2 linked regions of the Coturnix japonica genome follow. The protein of the gene in region 1 purifies or fractionates together with the protein of each later gene. This does not show direct contact. Links are inferred from orthologs where the notes say so. Each region holds a gene or a part of one and is shown in the gene's direction. Other genes may lie near its edges.

Region 1 (8,272 bases):
AGAGGGTGTGGAGGAAGGCTGAGTAAACTTTAGGTAAGGTGACTTCATCAGGAAGGAGTGAAAAACAATTGTGAGATCTGAAATTTTCAACTGTGTGTCCTTCTGTATTGATTCTGTTTGTGGTAGTACGCAGGAGGTGTGACAGAAATGTGGTGTATAATCCACCTGAACAAATTCTCTGTGCTAGCTCAAGCTGTACTTAAGCCACAGTAGTAGCTAGGTGAAGGAAGAAGATAGCAGTTTGGATTCTGACTACCAATTTATGCTACAAATAACAAATGCAAATAAAGAGGTTTTTTTTTTTTTTAATGAAACAGTATAATCAAAAGATTAAAGTTGAGGGCCCTAAGTGGTCCAATTGACTTACATTTTTGTTTCAGGAGAAATTGGAATTTGTACTTCTTCATGATTCTGTGAAGTTCTCTTATGTAATATGTATTTTACTTTGTTTTTACTAACTGGAGCAGTTATCTGCAGAAGGCTGGTCTATAGATCTTACTGTAGATCACTCTGAGTTGGAAGGGACCCACAAGGGTCATGTCAGCTCCTAACTCCACACACACCTGAGAGCTGCACCAGAAATATGAAAGTTGTCCAAGTGCTTCTTGACCGCTGACAGGTTTTTGAAGCTGTGACCACTACCCTGAACTAATCCTTAACCTAAACAAGTTTTTAACTCAAATAGTTAAAAACAAACAACGCACAAACTTAAATAATTATAAGAAACACCTGTTGATTAAAGAATAGATGGCTTAATCTAAGACCTGGTAAAACTGAAGAGTTTCTCTTTAGGCTCTGAATTGTATGCAACATTTAAATAGTATTTCTTCTGATCAAATAATGTCTTAACCATATGCAGTTAACAACAAGGTATTTCAAAGCAATCTTTCCATTCTTCTCTTTTCCTATCTCTTCCTTTTTCTTTTTAAAGAATGACAGATGGATACTCTGGAAGTGATTTGACTGCATTAGCGAAGGATGCAGCACTGGGTCCAATCCGAGGTAAGCTAGCACAGCTTTTATGTTTAGACTAAAAAATTGCAATACCCTTGAAGACTTTAAAGGTATTTCTCTATAGTAGTTAAGTTTATGTATGCATTAGAGTTAAAAGTTACTTTTATCTCTAAAGATACTTTGGCACATCACTTTGCATGCGAGTCCATGTTGAGAAGAGATCACAAATTACTACTTCTACCTGATCCTAGCTTCCAATTAAAATCCTAATTGTTTTTTAATGTCAGCCTCGCTGATCCCACCTATGTTCTTTGTACCCTCAGAGCAAAAAGTTTCCTATACTCTGTTACCATAATAATACTTCAAAAAGAAAACTGTAAAATGAGGAGGGCTACTGAAATGGTGAACTTCCATTATTAGTGTATGCAGTGAGATGCAGTTTTATGTGCCTACCTAATTTATTTCTGTATTCCTGGCTGATAGTACCTTTTTGCTTGCTGGGGATTGTGCATGTTCTGCTGGTAGAGAAATGTGGGTCCTAAGAATAAAATGGTGGAGGGCAGCTGTTATACGTGGATGCTTCCCTTTGTGAGGAAGGATGTTGTTCTGCTGTCATCCTGTATCTGTAGTGAGTCACTTTGGAAGCAGCCTGGGTGGGAGGGTGCTTAATGGGAAGAAAGAGGAGGAAAAGAAAAATGCCACCATGTACTTTTCCTTAAGGAATATTATGTTGATGGAGATAGATATCTATCTTGTCTGTGGTGGTGTTCCAATTAAAACTACATTTTAACATGTTTTAATTGTCAGAAGAGGTAGGTTTTCCTACAAAACTCAGTAATCTCTCTTTATTTTCACAGAATTAAAACCAGAGCAGGTGAAGAATATGTCTGCCAGTGAGGTATGCTGTTCCAGCAATTGTTTTCCCTTTTGAAAGTAACATGCTCAGCTGAAACTTTTAATGTCTCTTTGCTTATGCTTAGTATCCTACAAAACAGGAGTTTGTTTTTTCTTTTTTGGCTGTTACATCTTTGTGATTACTTCCTCACCGAAGAAGTTTTAAAGAAACTGTGTGAAGAAACACCTGTCCTCAGATATCAGAGGTTCTCTGAGCAGTTTTAAATCTCTAAGCCTAGAAAGGAGAAAATGAAGAAACTGGCTCTTGTAAAGTCTTATAAAAGTATTTTCCTAAGAAGTACCTGGTAATCATGAAACCTGGAGGATCAGCACCATCTGTAACGTTAATACTCATTTGATGATGCGACTGCCCTTACACACTCTTTGCCTACCTCCCACTGTGTCTGGATGTATTTCTACTTGTAATTGTGTTCTCAGTAAACTGAAGGGTGTATGTTGAATCAGAGAAGTGAGATGAGAAGATTTACTTGGCTGAGAGCCCACTGTGATCTTGAATACATTATCTGTGTATCTTTTTTTGGGTATGGAGGACCTCTAGTGCACAAAGTGGGGGTACAAAGTTAGGCCCTAAATGTGTTTTAAAAATCCCACATTGTGCACTTCACTCAGGCTTGTGCCCCTGTGTGCATTGGCTTGCACCACCTAGCGGAATAGGAAGCAGTAACACATTCTCATGGGTTATTAAGTAACAAAACTAACATAGTTATCAAACGTATTATAAGAAAAAAGTAATGATAATCTTAAATGGCACAAGACTATTGCATCAGATCATATGAAGCATGTTAGAAGTAAATACTGAAGTACTTTTTGAATAAACTGGAGCATTTGAACTGCTTGTCATCATAATATCATTTGCTTTTTGCTTTTCTTTTAGATGAGAAATATTAAATTATCAGATTTCACTGAGTCTTTGAAGAAGATAAAGCGTAGTTTGAGCCCGCAGACACTGGAAGCATACGTTCGTTGGAACAAGGACTTTGGAGATACCACGGTGTGAAACGCTACTTCAGATGGAACAAAGTGCTGCCTGAGGAGCAGGAATACAGACTACTGAAAAGCAGCCAAAGTTTACAGGACTTGGCAGATCTTTGAGAATCTGCACTAAAACTTGAGAATATGAAAAAATTATACAATGTGAAATAAGTTCATCAAAACCTCCTTGCCGTTTAGTGAGGATTTACACACTGTAAGTAAGAGCACAATAGGACTTTGGTTAAGATTCCTACCAATCTGATCATAGTTTGTGTGTTTTGTTTCAGTTGGAAGGCTCTGATGATATTGATCATTGGAAGGCTTTTTCCCTATGTTGTGTGCATTACTTTTGTTTTTAATTCTGCCATGACATTCATGTCTGGCTTCCTTCCTGATGACTACTAATAGTTAAGACTGTTTTGTAACCTTCGGTTCCACTTTTGTCTCTTTATTTTTATTTTTACCCTTAATGTGCCAAATAAAACAAATTCCCCATGCAAAGCTGAAGGACAGCACTGGGGGATTACGTTCATTACAATGTAAAGTGCAGCTGGTCTGTTATTATTTGTCTTTTTGTTTAGTTGTATGTGAGTGTGTTGTTCACAGAACAGTTCTAAAAAAGACCTGTGATAGCAGAACAGCAACAGACAAACCAACAAAAAGCTATACAACCAGTTCAAACTGTTCTTAAGAAAATGACTAAATAAGAAATAGATTAAGACGTTCATTTACTGGCAGTATTTTCACTTAACGCGATTTGTAATGCTTCCATTGATAGAATGTTAGCTTAACGCTTATGGTGTGCGACTTGAAGACCAGCTGTTTGAGAGAGTAAGTGACGCTAATTGTCAAGTTTCAGAAACGTGTTTCTACTTTGTATTTTGGTCCGGCTGCGGTCATTTGAAAGTGAAATTTCCATTGTGTAATTTTTTTAAACCTACACATTTAACCTTTAAACATAAGGCTACGTGTTTAATACATTGCGAACATTAATGTTTTTATAGCTTTCATATGTTTTTGGTTTGTATATTAAAGTATGAAACACTCAACTGATCTGCTTTTTTTTGAAAGAAACTGCATCTTTGTACAAATACTTGGATTTTTATTATATAAATGACAAGCTATTAAAAAGTGCAAGCCTTTAAATGCTGTAATAAAACATCTCTGCCTTTACTTCTAAAGGCCTGACATCTTGTTTACAAATTCTGCATCAATCAAACACTGGGATGTTTGTAAAGCAGATACCAGTTCCTTGTTAGAACTGCTGTAAAATTAAGAAAGACAACTCTCCCAGCTTAGTGATGTTGCAAAGTTGTGTATTGTTTACAATTGTTATAAGTAAATTCATTTCCCTCCTTCATTTCCTTTTGGTTTGAATGGCAAACTTTGTCCTTTTTCCTTTAAATTATTTTATTGTAAGGAGTAAGTCTTAAATATTTCTGGCACTACTCATTTGAAAATTGTCTGTATATATTATAATTTTATATCTGTGAAGACACATAGCTGATGCAGTGCAAAGGCAGTGATACCAAGAGAGGGCTTGGTGTTCGCTGCATGGTATTTGTTACGAGATAGCTGAAGGTGTGTAAAGCTTTTGAGATGTATTCATGCAGTATGTTTGGGATTAGTGTGTTTTGTTTGTTTTTTTAACAAGGGACACTTTTAATTTAAGTTACTTTTAATTTGAATATATGAAAAGATTGTGTTACACTAGTATGCCTTTTGAAACCATTTCTAACCTTCTAACCAAATCACTTCTAGCCTTCTAAGCGTATGACTCTATCAAATGTGTGTCTGATATAGATGAAATGTGATTTCTGTTCCCCTGAACAACCTTCCCAGAGAAGAAATGCTGAAAGATTTTAGTTTGTCTGATCTCCTGTCTTTCTTGCTTTGCCTCAGTTCTGCCTTCAGCAGACTTATCTTTCTTTGAGATTTCTGGCTAGTATAATATGTTTGTCACAGACTTCATAGTGTTAAACACAGGTATTACTGTTTAGTTACCATATGCCAAATGGCTAAACAGATAACAAATGCCTCTGGTTTTCCTACTGATAAAGCTTGCAAATTTTTCCCGGAGATTATTTGCAAATGGGAGCTCTGAGGTAACACTCGTGGCTATAAGCATTCCTAAATACTTGTTAGGAAACTAATTTCCCTCCATTAAATTTTGAAGAATATAGAGATATTAATTTCAGGTGTGTATTGGCAGGTGATAGGTACATGGAATGTAAAGGTAGAACATCGCACCTCCTAAAACACCACAAGCAAAAGCAGCACAAAGAGTCAGAAGCCTGAGCTGCTACCTCAGAAAGGAAAAGAACAACTGGTTCAGGACTGGAGAATGTGTGACACAGTAATGTTTTTGGTACCTATCCTGCCTTAATTATTTTATGTGTAATGTCTAAATTGATGCTCTGTGGATGAGTTCTGCAACACAGAGCTTTATTTTGTTCTGCAATGTCAGTTTGCCCCAGTGGCTGCTGTATTTTTTAGTCTGTAACCAAGTGCCATTTGGTTCATGAATTGCCTTTAAATTACATTTACACATTCACACTATTTACTGAACAGTATCTTTTTAATAATAATTCTGTTCCCCTCGGGATGTTTAATCGCATCTTCTCATTTCTGATGTTACATACGCTGAGTAATTTCCAGCTCAATGATTTTCATCTGTGTGCTAGATTAACTATGTATAAAAGCAAATCTAAAAGCAGAGTGGGGAGGGGGGAACCCACAACTCACATATTTTGTATAGAACTTTGTGACCGTATATGTCATAAAATCAGATTATGTTCTAATGCAGTATCTATCTTGAATTAGGTTAGGATAAGCAGGACAACAGCTTGGATGCTTTTAACCTTTGCAAAGGTTATGTTTGCATTAAGTCCCTAAACTGACTTATTTTTTTCCCCTCCTAGGATGAATCTGTCCACTGCTGTAATGAATGACTTGACCCACTTCTCAGAGATTATTAGGAAGCAGCTTGTCTGGCTCGCTGCATATGTTTTTTTACTGGCCTGAAGTTAAACACTTACTGGAGGGAAGGGAAAAACAACTGTCTTCTTTGTGCATTCTTGCCTGTTTTATTAAGCTGGAAATACCTGTTTTGTTTTTCTACCTGCTGAAGGAGCAGTGTCTAAGGCAGCGGGTTGGTTGAAGTGGTATATTTATGCACTTGCAAGTTTCACCTGTTCTCTTATTGTGTCAGAATTATAGTTTAATGCATTAGGAACAGGCATTCCTCCCCAAAACTTCTTATCAGCTGTACTTCAGAAAGTCAGAGAGTAAGAGTTTTGTTGAATATGGCCCTGCAACTTGCTTTATTTAGATACCAAACATGATAGTAACATTTGATAACTGGAATGGAATCTGAACTGGGAAGGAACTCCTTGTTGCTGCAGTAACTAGAAGCAGATCTTCTAATTTGATCTCCCTGTTGGATTTCTTTGAATGTGATTAAAATGGCAGGTTATTACACATACAACTTCCTGTGACAATTAAACTTACCTTCCAGTATAGAAGAAATTGGTAGGTTTTCCCTGTTCTAAACAAGCAATTTTTAGCTGGCACAGCTGTCATGTACATTGTATGAAATTTAAGTACTGCGAAACCAGGTATGTTGGCAAATTTAACTGAAGTATTGGTTTTGCAACTGATATGGAAAGCAGCATTCTGTTTCCTTCACCACAGATGATGAAATTTCTTGTGTGCTAGAATCTTCTACTGCTTTCCTACAAGGCATGGATAATTGCATAGTTGTGCCTAAGATAAGTTTAGCTATTCTAATGCTTTAGCGATGCTTCTGCATGTGGCAGCTGTGGGAGATGGCAAGCACTATTGTAGGTTACAGATGTTCATTCGTTTTGTGGTAGTCTTAAGCTCCTGTATTTTTAGTGCTGGGGACTTCTACCAGTTGTCAGAAATGAAAAGGTAACAAGCAAGCAGTGGAGAACAGTTCCCTTATTGTCATGCTCATTAGAGGCAGTTACCGATTTCACTGTTAGTGTCTCTTGAGCTTCTGGTTAGTATTGAAGGATGTTGTTTTACTCACCTACTTGAGTTTCCATGGTCATCTTAAGAGATGACCAATACATAAAGAGTTTAAGTACTGTAACTTCAACAGGACACAGACATAAACTAGCTTCCTACAAAGGCAGAATCATCTAAAGTACAGGCAGATGTGTGTTATATTCTTTCTGCTTCTCTTGTAAATTGTAAGCTGTCATGATGTAAACTGTTTATTTTGTCAGTAACTACCTCCTGAGTTCAGCAATAATTGACAAGGTAGACCCTCCTCCACTGTATCTAAATGTATCGGTTAAACACTGCAATTCTGTCGGTACTGGTCAGTTTCGTCTTTTTGATTTGCAATTGTCTGTTAGTTTGGTGATTAGACTTTGTCTCCATAAGAAACACTTCTAAAAGTTCTGTTTCAGAGGCTGACTTTGAAGATTGACTTTCTTCGTACTTGGTTAATACAGGTTTATTCTTTCAGGATGCTTAAGATGTGGTCTCAGTTCTGCAGGGTGTTTTTGTTTTTGCCATTGGAAGTGAGAAGTACTTGATGTAATGCTTGTGTACCTATCAAGGGGGCTGAGAACATGGAAACTGTCACAATTCAAATCCTCATTCATGTGAAGGGCTAGTCAGTTTTTTCAGAAGTCTGGATTTAAGTGACACAAGCAGAAGGTGGAGGCAAATTGCTGTCCCCTACCCTGTTAAATACAGTGAATAACTCTGGTTTGAGACAGAGCTGATGCTTGTCTTTGGTTGTGTTGAGGGTCTTATGCCTCAGTGTTCCCTAAAGAACATTTTGTGGAATGTTAAACATGGCTTCATTAATAAGCAATGTAAGGCAGCGTGGTGAGCACTCACACAGCGTCAGCTTCACAATAAAATGTTGCATTTATCCTTTTCTTACTGCTCTCGTCTGTTTATCAGATTAAAACGCCCAAAGCTGCAACCCTTCTTATTAAACCTCAATCTGATTAAGTTGTTACTGCTTTAATAAATGAATCAAGTCAGGTGTTGTGCCTGCTGGATGATGGAACAATAAATACGTCAATACCTCATTTAGTTTCTAAAGGACTTGAGTCAAGTTCTTATTGAGTCAAGTTCTTAGTACTAATATAGGCAAGTGCTGCTATCCGTGACTATCCGGATATCGCTGTGTGGTGCAGCAGGGCGGGGTAAGGCCTGGTGTCCCCGCCCTAGGGGCGCGCTTCCTTTGCCGTCACATCCAGTTCCGCTGTCGCCCCGCAGGCTCTGCAGGTTGCCACAGTGACGGCAGCCCCCTCCGCCTCTTCCGGCCTCGCATGGCGCCGTCTCTTCCGGTGCGGGCAGTACTATGGTGAGCTGGACGCGACAGGGAGGGACGGGCCGGTTGCGGCGGGTGTGAGCGGGGAGCTGTGAGGGCGGGGAGGCGGCT
Region 2 (8,344 bases), on another chromosome or scaffold:
GATAGAGAGGCTGCTTGGGGCATGGAGGGGCTGTCTGGAGTGGGAGGGTGTTGGGTTTTGGGGTGGGAATGGAGTGATGGAGGGAATGAGGGGGGATGGGTTTGGGGCTGGGGGTGGATCAAGGGTCTGTGGGGTGGTGGGGGTGGGTTTGGAGGCAGGTAGGGATGGAAGGTGGGGGTTGTGGGGGTTGAGGATGGGTTTGGGGGATGATAGGGATGTGAGTTGGAGAAGGCAGGGACAGAAGGAAGGGGTTTTGCTATAGAAGGAATGAATTTGGGGCAGGAAGGGATAGAGAAGGCTATGGGGGTGGGGGTGGGGCAGGCAGGGATGGTTTTACCTGCTCCCAGCCCCTCCTTGTGTCCCCTGTTGTCCCACACTTCCTTGTTTCTCTCAGGACAACATCTGGGGACATCCTTGAGCTGGTGGAGGAATCTCTGGACACGGAGCTGCTGAACAATGCTGTGCGGTTACGCATCCAGGGCTGCCCGCTGCTGCCGGGCGGTGTACACCTGTGTGAGGTGCAGAACCACCTGGTGCTGCTGCTGGTCACTGTGCAGAGCGTGCACCGCATCCTGCTGCCTCATCCAGCCCGTGCCTATCGCGGGGTGAGTGGCATAGAGGAGTTTATGAGGGATTTAAAGCCTGGCCCTGTGGTCAGTGGCTCCTGTGGAGGCATTACTGAGTGTGAGAAGGGAGAAAATGCTGCTGGAAAATGAGATTTTAAAGCCTGTATGTTTTGGGAAGCAGCAATCGTGGGTTGAAAAAGTGACTGTCACTTAGCAGTGTTGCTCTGTAGGTGGTGAGTTATTTCCTCCATGGCTTGTGTATGTGCTTGAGACTTGTTCTCCTCCCTTTACCTCCTCCAGGATCTGATAGCAGAGAGTCAAGTGCAGTCCGTCTTTACAGACATTGGCAAAATCAACTTCAGAGATCCATCCAGCTACTACCTGATTCCCAGTGTGCCAGGCTTGGCAGCCAACTCACTGGCCTCAGCAGCCTGGCTGAGCAGTGATGGGGAGGCCCTTTTTGCTCTACCCTCTGCAGCAGGAGGCATCTTTGTTATTAAGCTGCCTCCTCATGACATACCTGGTAAGGCTGCATCCTCACACCTGCTTCTGTGGAGCACTGTATCCCCTCTTCCAGCTTTGGACCTCGATGGGTTTTGCTTTTGTCACTTGTGTCTTACGGCCTTGCTGCACACACAGCATCTCTTTTGCATCAGCCTCCTTTCTGGCAACATGTGTTTTGTTAACTAAGTCCTCACTGTGTTTTCCCTGTGTTGCTTTTATTTTGCAAGGAGTTGTTTCGGTTGTGGAGTTGAAGCAGAGCTCGGTGGTGCAGCGCTTTCTCACCGGTTGGATGCCAACAGCAATCAGGTTGGTGTTTGGGGACAAACACAGGGAGCTCGCTTTGCTTTATGATTCCCTCGCATAGGAGGAGGTGGTGTTTCTAGTTGAAGTCCAGCGTGGGCAAATCAGCACCTGCAGATGTGTTCTGCAATGTTAACTGGGTCACAGGCCCCGTCACAGTGAGACTTGAGGGCTGGATTAGTTCATCTTAGTGGGGTCCTGCTGATTCTGTGCGTTGGTGTCTGTGAGTGTGTTACATCCAGTAATTGGCCTCTGAGGATTTACCCAGGATGTGGCTCGCAGCCAGGGTAGATTAAGGATTACAACAGTTGTATGTTCTTGTCCTTGTTCCAAAATGTCAGGCTTCTTTCTGACCAGCAGAGGTTACGTGTAGATAACAGCTCGTTTGGGGACTGTAGTCTTATGGCAGCTTAAGCACATGATCAAACCCTGTTAAAGCCTTCCTGGGAAATGTGAGTGAGCCTGCGGCACCCTGAGTTGGATCACAAGGGGTGCGTTGCTTGGGGCCAGGTGCCTTTCTTTTCCCACCTCAGTCCTTCATCTTAATGGGTAAAACATCACGATAGAAATCTACTGCCTTGGACCTGTGTGCCAACCTTGGCTTCCTTTTAACACACCTGTGCTTTCAGAGGTGACGGTGGCCCATCAGACGTGCCCATCAGCCTTGCAGTTCACTGCCTGGACCACGATGCCTTTCTCTTTGCTCTCTGCCAGGACCACAAGCTTCGGATGTGGTCCTACAAGGTGAGGCTTGCGTTCGGGGCAGGTGTAGTTTAACAGGTGACATTGGGTGCTTTCCAAACTAACTCTGGCAGGCAAGTGGGAGTACCCCAAGGGATGAGGCAGCACCCAAAACGGGTGTTCTGCTGCTTGAGTGGTAATGTAATGTGACTCTTTGTCAACAAGAAACTGCTAAAAGCCTCTGCTTGCTGCATTGTACTTGCTCCAGAGCTAATCAGCCAGCACAGGCACTTTCACGGCTGGGCTGTGCTGGAATGTGTGTCTGCTACTGGAGGGAGGGGAAGCTTTATGTGCTGGCTGGGAGAGCACAGATGAGCTGGGGGAGCTAAACTGCAACCAGAATGCTTATGGTGTACATAAAAATATTTTGCTGGCATTCTGCAGGGAAGGATTGGGCTGCTGCTGGGGTAGACTTGAAGGCAGTTTTGCAGTCCTTTATTATGCTGCTTTCTTGTGCTTCCTGCAGGATCAAATGTGCCTGATGGTTGCAGACCTCCTGGAGTTCATGCCGGTCAGCAGGGACCTGCGGCTCGCAGCTGGCACCTGTCACCGCCTGCGCCTGGCCTTCTCCCAGTCCCTGGGGCTCTACCTCGGCGTGTACATGCATGCACCCAAGCGAGGGCAGGTAGGGAGCAGCAGGGCTGCCTCGCTATAAGCTCGTTTTTCTTGGCCCATGCAGAAAATACATAATTTCTCCTTGGAGCTGAGTATGCATAAGGAGAAAGTAAAGCTTGCCATTACAGGGAGAGAAGGCAGCGCTTTGAGTAAACAGTTTTGTCCTCAGCACTGCAGGATGTGTGTCCTTGCTTTGGGAGGAGAGTTGTGTGTGATTAAGCCAAGTGCTGATCCACTCATTCACCTTCTGTTCTGGTAGTACACACATGCCATGGGAAAGGTCTGAAAGGAGCCAGAAACGTGGAAGCACTGAGAGTGTGTTTATGTTGAGCTCCTGGGAACGTGCAAGTGCATCACAGCACTCTGCCAAATGTTAGCTGCTGTACAACTCCATGTCGTGTGATAAATAATGAATCCAGCAGGAGGGGGCTGACAGCACAGGGCAGCCTCATCTCTTGCACAGCTTCTTGCAGTTCTCCAGGGGGTTGAAGCTCTGAGTAGAAGCACATACTGTGGCTTCTGCTGTCTCTCCAGTGCTAGCTCACTTGTGTAAGAACATGCAGAGCTTTGTTTGAGGTAGCTTGCCTGAGGATTCCAGTCTTTTCCATCTCTGTTTGCCTGCATCGTGTTGTCGCTAGCAGGAACCAGCAGTAGTGTTGTTTTGCTGGTTCAGTCTTTCAGAAGAAACCCTTCAAGTCCAGGCAGGGATCAAGCTGTCCTGCTGACAAGGCTGGCTGGAGTCTGGAATGCTGGCTTGGTCCAGTCTCTGCTGCCCTTGGCCAGGCAGCTGCCACACCAGGGACCTGTGGATGGGTCGCAGGGAGCAAGGAGAGGCTTCCCCACAGCACACGGGTTGGTGTTCCTCTTTAGCAAACGACTTACAGGATGTGTTGGTAGTTCTGTGTCTTCCAGCTGGTAAGCACCGAGAGCAGCCGCTACAGCCTTGACCACATATCCTCTCTATTCTCCTCTCAGGTGAGTGCTGGGGCAGGTCTTTGCAAAATAAGAAGGGAGCATTCCCTGCTAGATTTAACTGTTAGTCAGGAATTCTGTCCAGAATATGGGTAAACGGCATGAGGGAGAGTTTGGCTGTTTTTAACCACACGAGTCTCTGCTGTGCTTTCATTTCTGTTCCCTTCCTGCAGGAGACTCTCATCGACTTTGCCTTGACCTCAGCTGAGATCTGGGCGCTGTGGCATAATGAAGAGAACCAAACCATCGTGAAATACATCAACTTTGAGCAGTGAGTTTCTGCCCTGACTTACTGGTGGGGGGGGGATCTGTCAGATGCTGCTCTGTTCATTGAAAGCTCTTACCCAGAACTTCTTGATAGCGCAGCGTTCATGTCATGCACACAGCTGTGTCTTCCTGCAGTGCAGATCATGTGGATATTTTTTGTGTTGTGCTGTATAATGCCACAGCTCAGCTGCAGGAATGTGAGAAATGTAAGAAGGCAGGCAGTAGGTTTGCAGTGAGGGAGGGCTGCACTTCAGCAGCAGGTCTGGCTGCTCTTTTCCAGTATGATCATGTTTTGAGGTGAGCAGTGACATGAAAGCTTTGTCCTTATTTCTGTAAAGCCAAGAGGGTTCTTTTGGCATGAAACCAGGCGGGGAGTTGAAAACTGAATAAAAAATGCTGAGCATTTAGGTTAGCTCAGGACTGGGGATAACAGTGTGAAGCTCTGCTGGCTCAATCTGTTGTTTATCACCACTCAAAGCCCTGTCACCAGTCCCCAGGGGCTGTCAGTGTGACAGGTTGGCTTCAGGTGACAGCTTCTGGGGGCGTTGCAATGCAAAACTGATTGGTTTTTCTTCTTGTTTGTTTCATTACTCCAGAAACGTGGCAGGACAGTGGAACCAGGTCTTCATGCAGCCACTGCCTGAAGAGGAGGTGACAGTTCGACATGATCAGGACCCCAGGGTGAGCTGACTAGAAAAGCAACAAGAACTAATGAAGCTTCTCTGCCCCAAGGAAGATGTTAAGGTTGCTGAAGTGTACAATTTATCTTGTAACACTTCTTGAAATTGTTCCAAATTAAAGGAGATGAGCCCGGGGCTCTTATCACAGCATTAAAGTGCTAAGCCTAGTTACAAAGCCTGAATTTGAGGGAAGGGGAGAATTTCAAGTCAGTCCAGAGCAAGCCTTGAGACAAGCTGTATGAATAAAGAAGGTCTGGAGTGTGTGGGGAGCCATATTCAGCTGTGGGAGCTGCAAAGGGTGGGGAGGAAGAGAGGCTGGAGCAGAGTGTGAGTGTAAACTGAAGCTGGAAAGAAATACAGATCAAGAGGGAGGAGTTTGAGAACGGGAGCTAACACCAGCAGCAATATCTTATCATTTCTGTAAATTCCCATCTTGTTCTTTTCACAGGAAACCTACTTGGAGTACCTCTTCATGCCTGGCCGCTTTTCAAATGCAGCCATCCAGAAAGCTTTGCAGGTTCGTGTGAGAGCATTTGGTGCCTTCTCTGTTCAGCTTCTTCCTCACAGTTCAGATGTGAGGCAGCAGGATTCCTTGGCTGGCATCAGTTTGCTCTTGACAGCTTACAGGCCTGTCAGGGGTCACTGGAGCAAGTTAGAAAGAGTAAAGCTGGCTGAAGCACTTAGCTCCCAGCCCTGTTTTTTCACACTTTCACCCAACAAATCAATGGATAATGCATTGTGAATGTTGTATGTTGCTGAATGCTTCTCCAAGACAGCTCTCTTGGTTTAAAGAAAGGCTTGCTGTGTTGATTTTCAGATATTTTCTCAAGGAACAGAGAGGCACATGGACCTGACGTGGGATGAGTTAAAAAAAGAGGTTACCTTAGCTGTGGAAAATGAGGTAGGGTTTCTTTTTCCCTCTGATGTTTTGTTCTTGCATCCATTTTTACATAGTGTTGTGGTGGCTCAGTGAAGCTGGTTAAATGCAACATGACCCTGAGCCGTGTTTTATCCTTTGTATTTCTGGAGGAGTTATGCAAACTGTGTTTTTGGTTCTGAAGAAAGAAAATCTTCACCTGTTTTTTCATTCCCCGTTCTTTTTTTGTGTCTTTAGTGGGGAGATGTTAGAAACAAATAAGTTTTGCCTGTAGGTTGGTAGGGAAGGGAATTGCAAGTGGTCTTTATAAATCCTTAACTGTGTAATTATGTGATGCTGGTCACAAGGGACACAATATCAGTTCAAATGCTAGTTTTTCATTCCCTTCCGGTTCCCATCTGAAGCTGTTTTGTTCCTGCTAGTTCCAGGGCAGCGTGACAGAGTACGAGTGCTCTCCAGAGGAGTTTTGTCAGCTGCAGGTGGATTTCTGGTCCAAGTTCTGTGCCTGCTGCCTTCAGTACCAGGAAGCGCTCTCGCGGCCCCTGGCCCTGCTCTTGAACCCCTACACCAACATGGTGTGCGTGCTGAAGAAGGTGAGGCTGAGCAGCAGTGCTCTGGGTAAAGCACCCAGGCAATTAGCCTGCACATTGCCATGCCCTTCTTACTGAGGAGTGATTGAAGGAACTCACATAATTGCTTTGCCTCGCCTTTCTAGGGGTCTGTGTCCTTCCTTGTGCCCTGCTCCTTGGTGGACCATCTCTATCTCCTCTCTAATGAGCATCTGCTGACTGAGGACGATGCTGCCATCTTTGATGGTAAGTGAGGAGATGCAGAGCTCTTCTGTTATTGGAGGCTGTAAATGTGCCAAAAATAAGTTTGGAAAACTTGAAAAAGGGAGAGTCTTAGATTTCAGGCTTAATGACAGGCATCCACAGTGGTGCGATCCTTTGCCTCGTGGCATACCCTGAGTACACACACTGGTGCCTTCTTCACACCCACTCTATGGGTTAGATCTGCCAGACTGGAGCCTAACAGTGTGCTACAGGGGCTCAGAAGCTTGTGTTTCTGCCCCCTGCTTTGTTTAATCAGCCTTTAACAGCTACCAGGTGAATGCAAACTCAAGCCAGGAGGCCAATTCCATCAGAAATACTTCATAATTTCATATCGTGCCAGCTGGTGACCCCTTATATAAGGATCTTATGGGTGACACCCTGGTTTGAACCCCTTTTGGCTTTGCAGTTCTCACCAAGAGCTGTAGGACCTGCATGTAGGCTACAGAGAGGGACTGGGAAGCTTGTCTCCAGAAGTAAGTGGTAGAGAGAGCAAAACTCATCATTAATATCATCACCACAGTGCCCTCTATGCTTTGCTGCTGATGGAACAAGAAAAAGGCAATGGAAAATATTATTTAAGTCCTACTTCCGTGCTTGAGTCATTTTTTTTTATATTTTTTTCACATTTTTGGGTTATTTTTAATCATCCTCCACTTGGTTGAGCTATTTCTGGCTCCTGTAGAGGGAAAGCTGGAGGCCTGGGCTGGTTTGGAGAGGCTGACATTGCCTGCTCCATCTGGTTTGAGCTTCTCAAACAAAGTGACTTGATCTTTAAGATACACATACCCCAGGGACTGTGTTGGAAAACAGGGATTTGTTCTGTAAACTCTTGGCCCTTAGAAATGATCTGAGAATTGACCTAAGAATGTGAGAATCTCCTTTTTGCTAGAGAGGGCTGCAAATGGGGAACTGCTACAGCAGGATTGGCAGCTCCTTGGTGGAGCTCAGCTGTATGAGCCCCTGGCTTTGGATTTCTTTGCTCTTTGCTATGTGTTTCCTTTCAACCTGTAGCTGGAGGAGATGCCTTACAGGGAATTTGATAGTTAATTGTTTTTTGTTTGTTTTTTACCCCCAAATAAAGTCCAAATCTTTGTCAACTGCCACATTTTGATTTGGTCATGTTTGCAGGGCAGGGTGAGTTTGACATGCAGGTGACATGCAGGACTGAGACCAATCTGCTGCTTGTGCTTTGCTGATGGTGATCTGGGCCAATCTGTTTAGAATGGTCCTCCCGCTTGGCTGTTGAAATCTCTTGTAAATATACAGTTAGATTCTTTCATTGCAGATTTGGAGATGTCTCGTGATGTTGTCTGTCTTGTCCAGTGCCTTCGACTGATCGGAGAATCAATTTCCATGGATATAGCATACATTATGGAAATGGCTTGTTCCCGCCTCCAGCCTCCAGAAAAGGCTGCAGAGCAGATCCTGGAGGACTTGATAGCTAATGACACGTAAGGAGAAGCCTTTCTGCAGGCAGGGGATAGCTGAGCAAGGATTGCTTGGAGCAGTCCTCTCACTGGGGATGCGTGGGTATCTCCCTGTGCTGCCATAGGGAGATGGTGGGTGTGGGTATTGGTCCTGTTAGCAGGCATTTCCATCCCAGCCCCCTTACTATTGCCTTAGGCTCCCCTGAGCAGAAATGTATGCAAAATATATGCAGGTTCTGAGATGAGGCAGGGTGGAAGAGGAACAAGTTCTCATTAGCCGATTGTGCAGGCACGCTTATTAGAGGTCAGAGCCGTGGTCAAGCCGTGTGGTTACATGCTAACCTCCTCCAGTCACTCCCTGTGGAATGCCCGCTATCTGACTGCTATTTCCTAGTGCCCTGGGGGAGCAGAATAAATAGCCCAGACTCTGCAGGCGCTACAATAAAACTGGGAGCCAGAAGAGGATTCAGGCAGCATCCTGGCTGATTGGATGCTTTCCCATCTAGAGAGGATCAGTAAGGGCGAAGAGGGAGTCCTCTTCAGTTTAAACCTCATCTTTTTT

Evidence for each region.
Region 2: the proteins of SPAST (region 1) and NUP160 purify together in Homo sapiens (affinity purification with mass spectrometry; 3 studies listed by BioGRID and IntAct, with this or other methods). This does not show direct contact. The link is inferred for Coturnix japonica from reciprocal best matches to the Homo sapiens genes SPAST and NUP160.

The regions. Positions count from the first base shown.
Region 1 is NC_029518.1:30,260,809-30,269,080, reverse strand, and holds the end of SPAST (spastin), read left to right. Parts: intron 1-931; coding exon 932-1,002; intron 1,003-1,811; coding exon 1,812-1,852; intron 1,853-2,743; coding exon 2,744-2,866; 3' UTR 2,867-5,400; downstream 5,401-8,272. Other genes in the region: SLC30A6 (zinc transporter 6), read left to right, coding at 8,160-8,177. UniProt on the Homo sapiens protein: ATP-dependent microtubule severing protein that specifically recognizes and cuts microtubules that are polyglutamylated.
Region 2 is NC_029520.1:525,684-534,027, forward strand, and holds part of NUP160 (nuclear pore complex protein Nup160), read left to right. Parts: intron 1-394; coding exon 395-605; intron 606-866; coding exon 867-1,089; intron 1,090-1,297; coding exon 1,298-1,376; intron 1,377-1,999; coding exon 2,000-2,114; intron 2,115-2,577; coding exon 2,578-2,736; intron 2,737-3,623; coding exon 3,624-3,701; intron 3,702-3,871; coding exon 3,872-3,969; intron 3,970-4,561; coding exon 4,562-4,646; intron 4,647-5,093; coding exon 5,094-5,162; intron 5,163-5,462; coding exon 5,463-5,546; intron 5,547-5,944; coding exon 5,945-6,115; intron 6,116-6,237; coding exon 6,238-6,337; intron 6,338-7,625; coding exon 7,626-7,806; intron 7,807-8,344. UniProt on the Homo sapiens protein: Functions as a component of the nuclear pore complex (NPC). Involved in poly(A)+ RNA transport.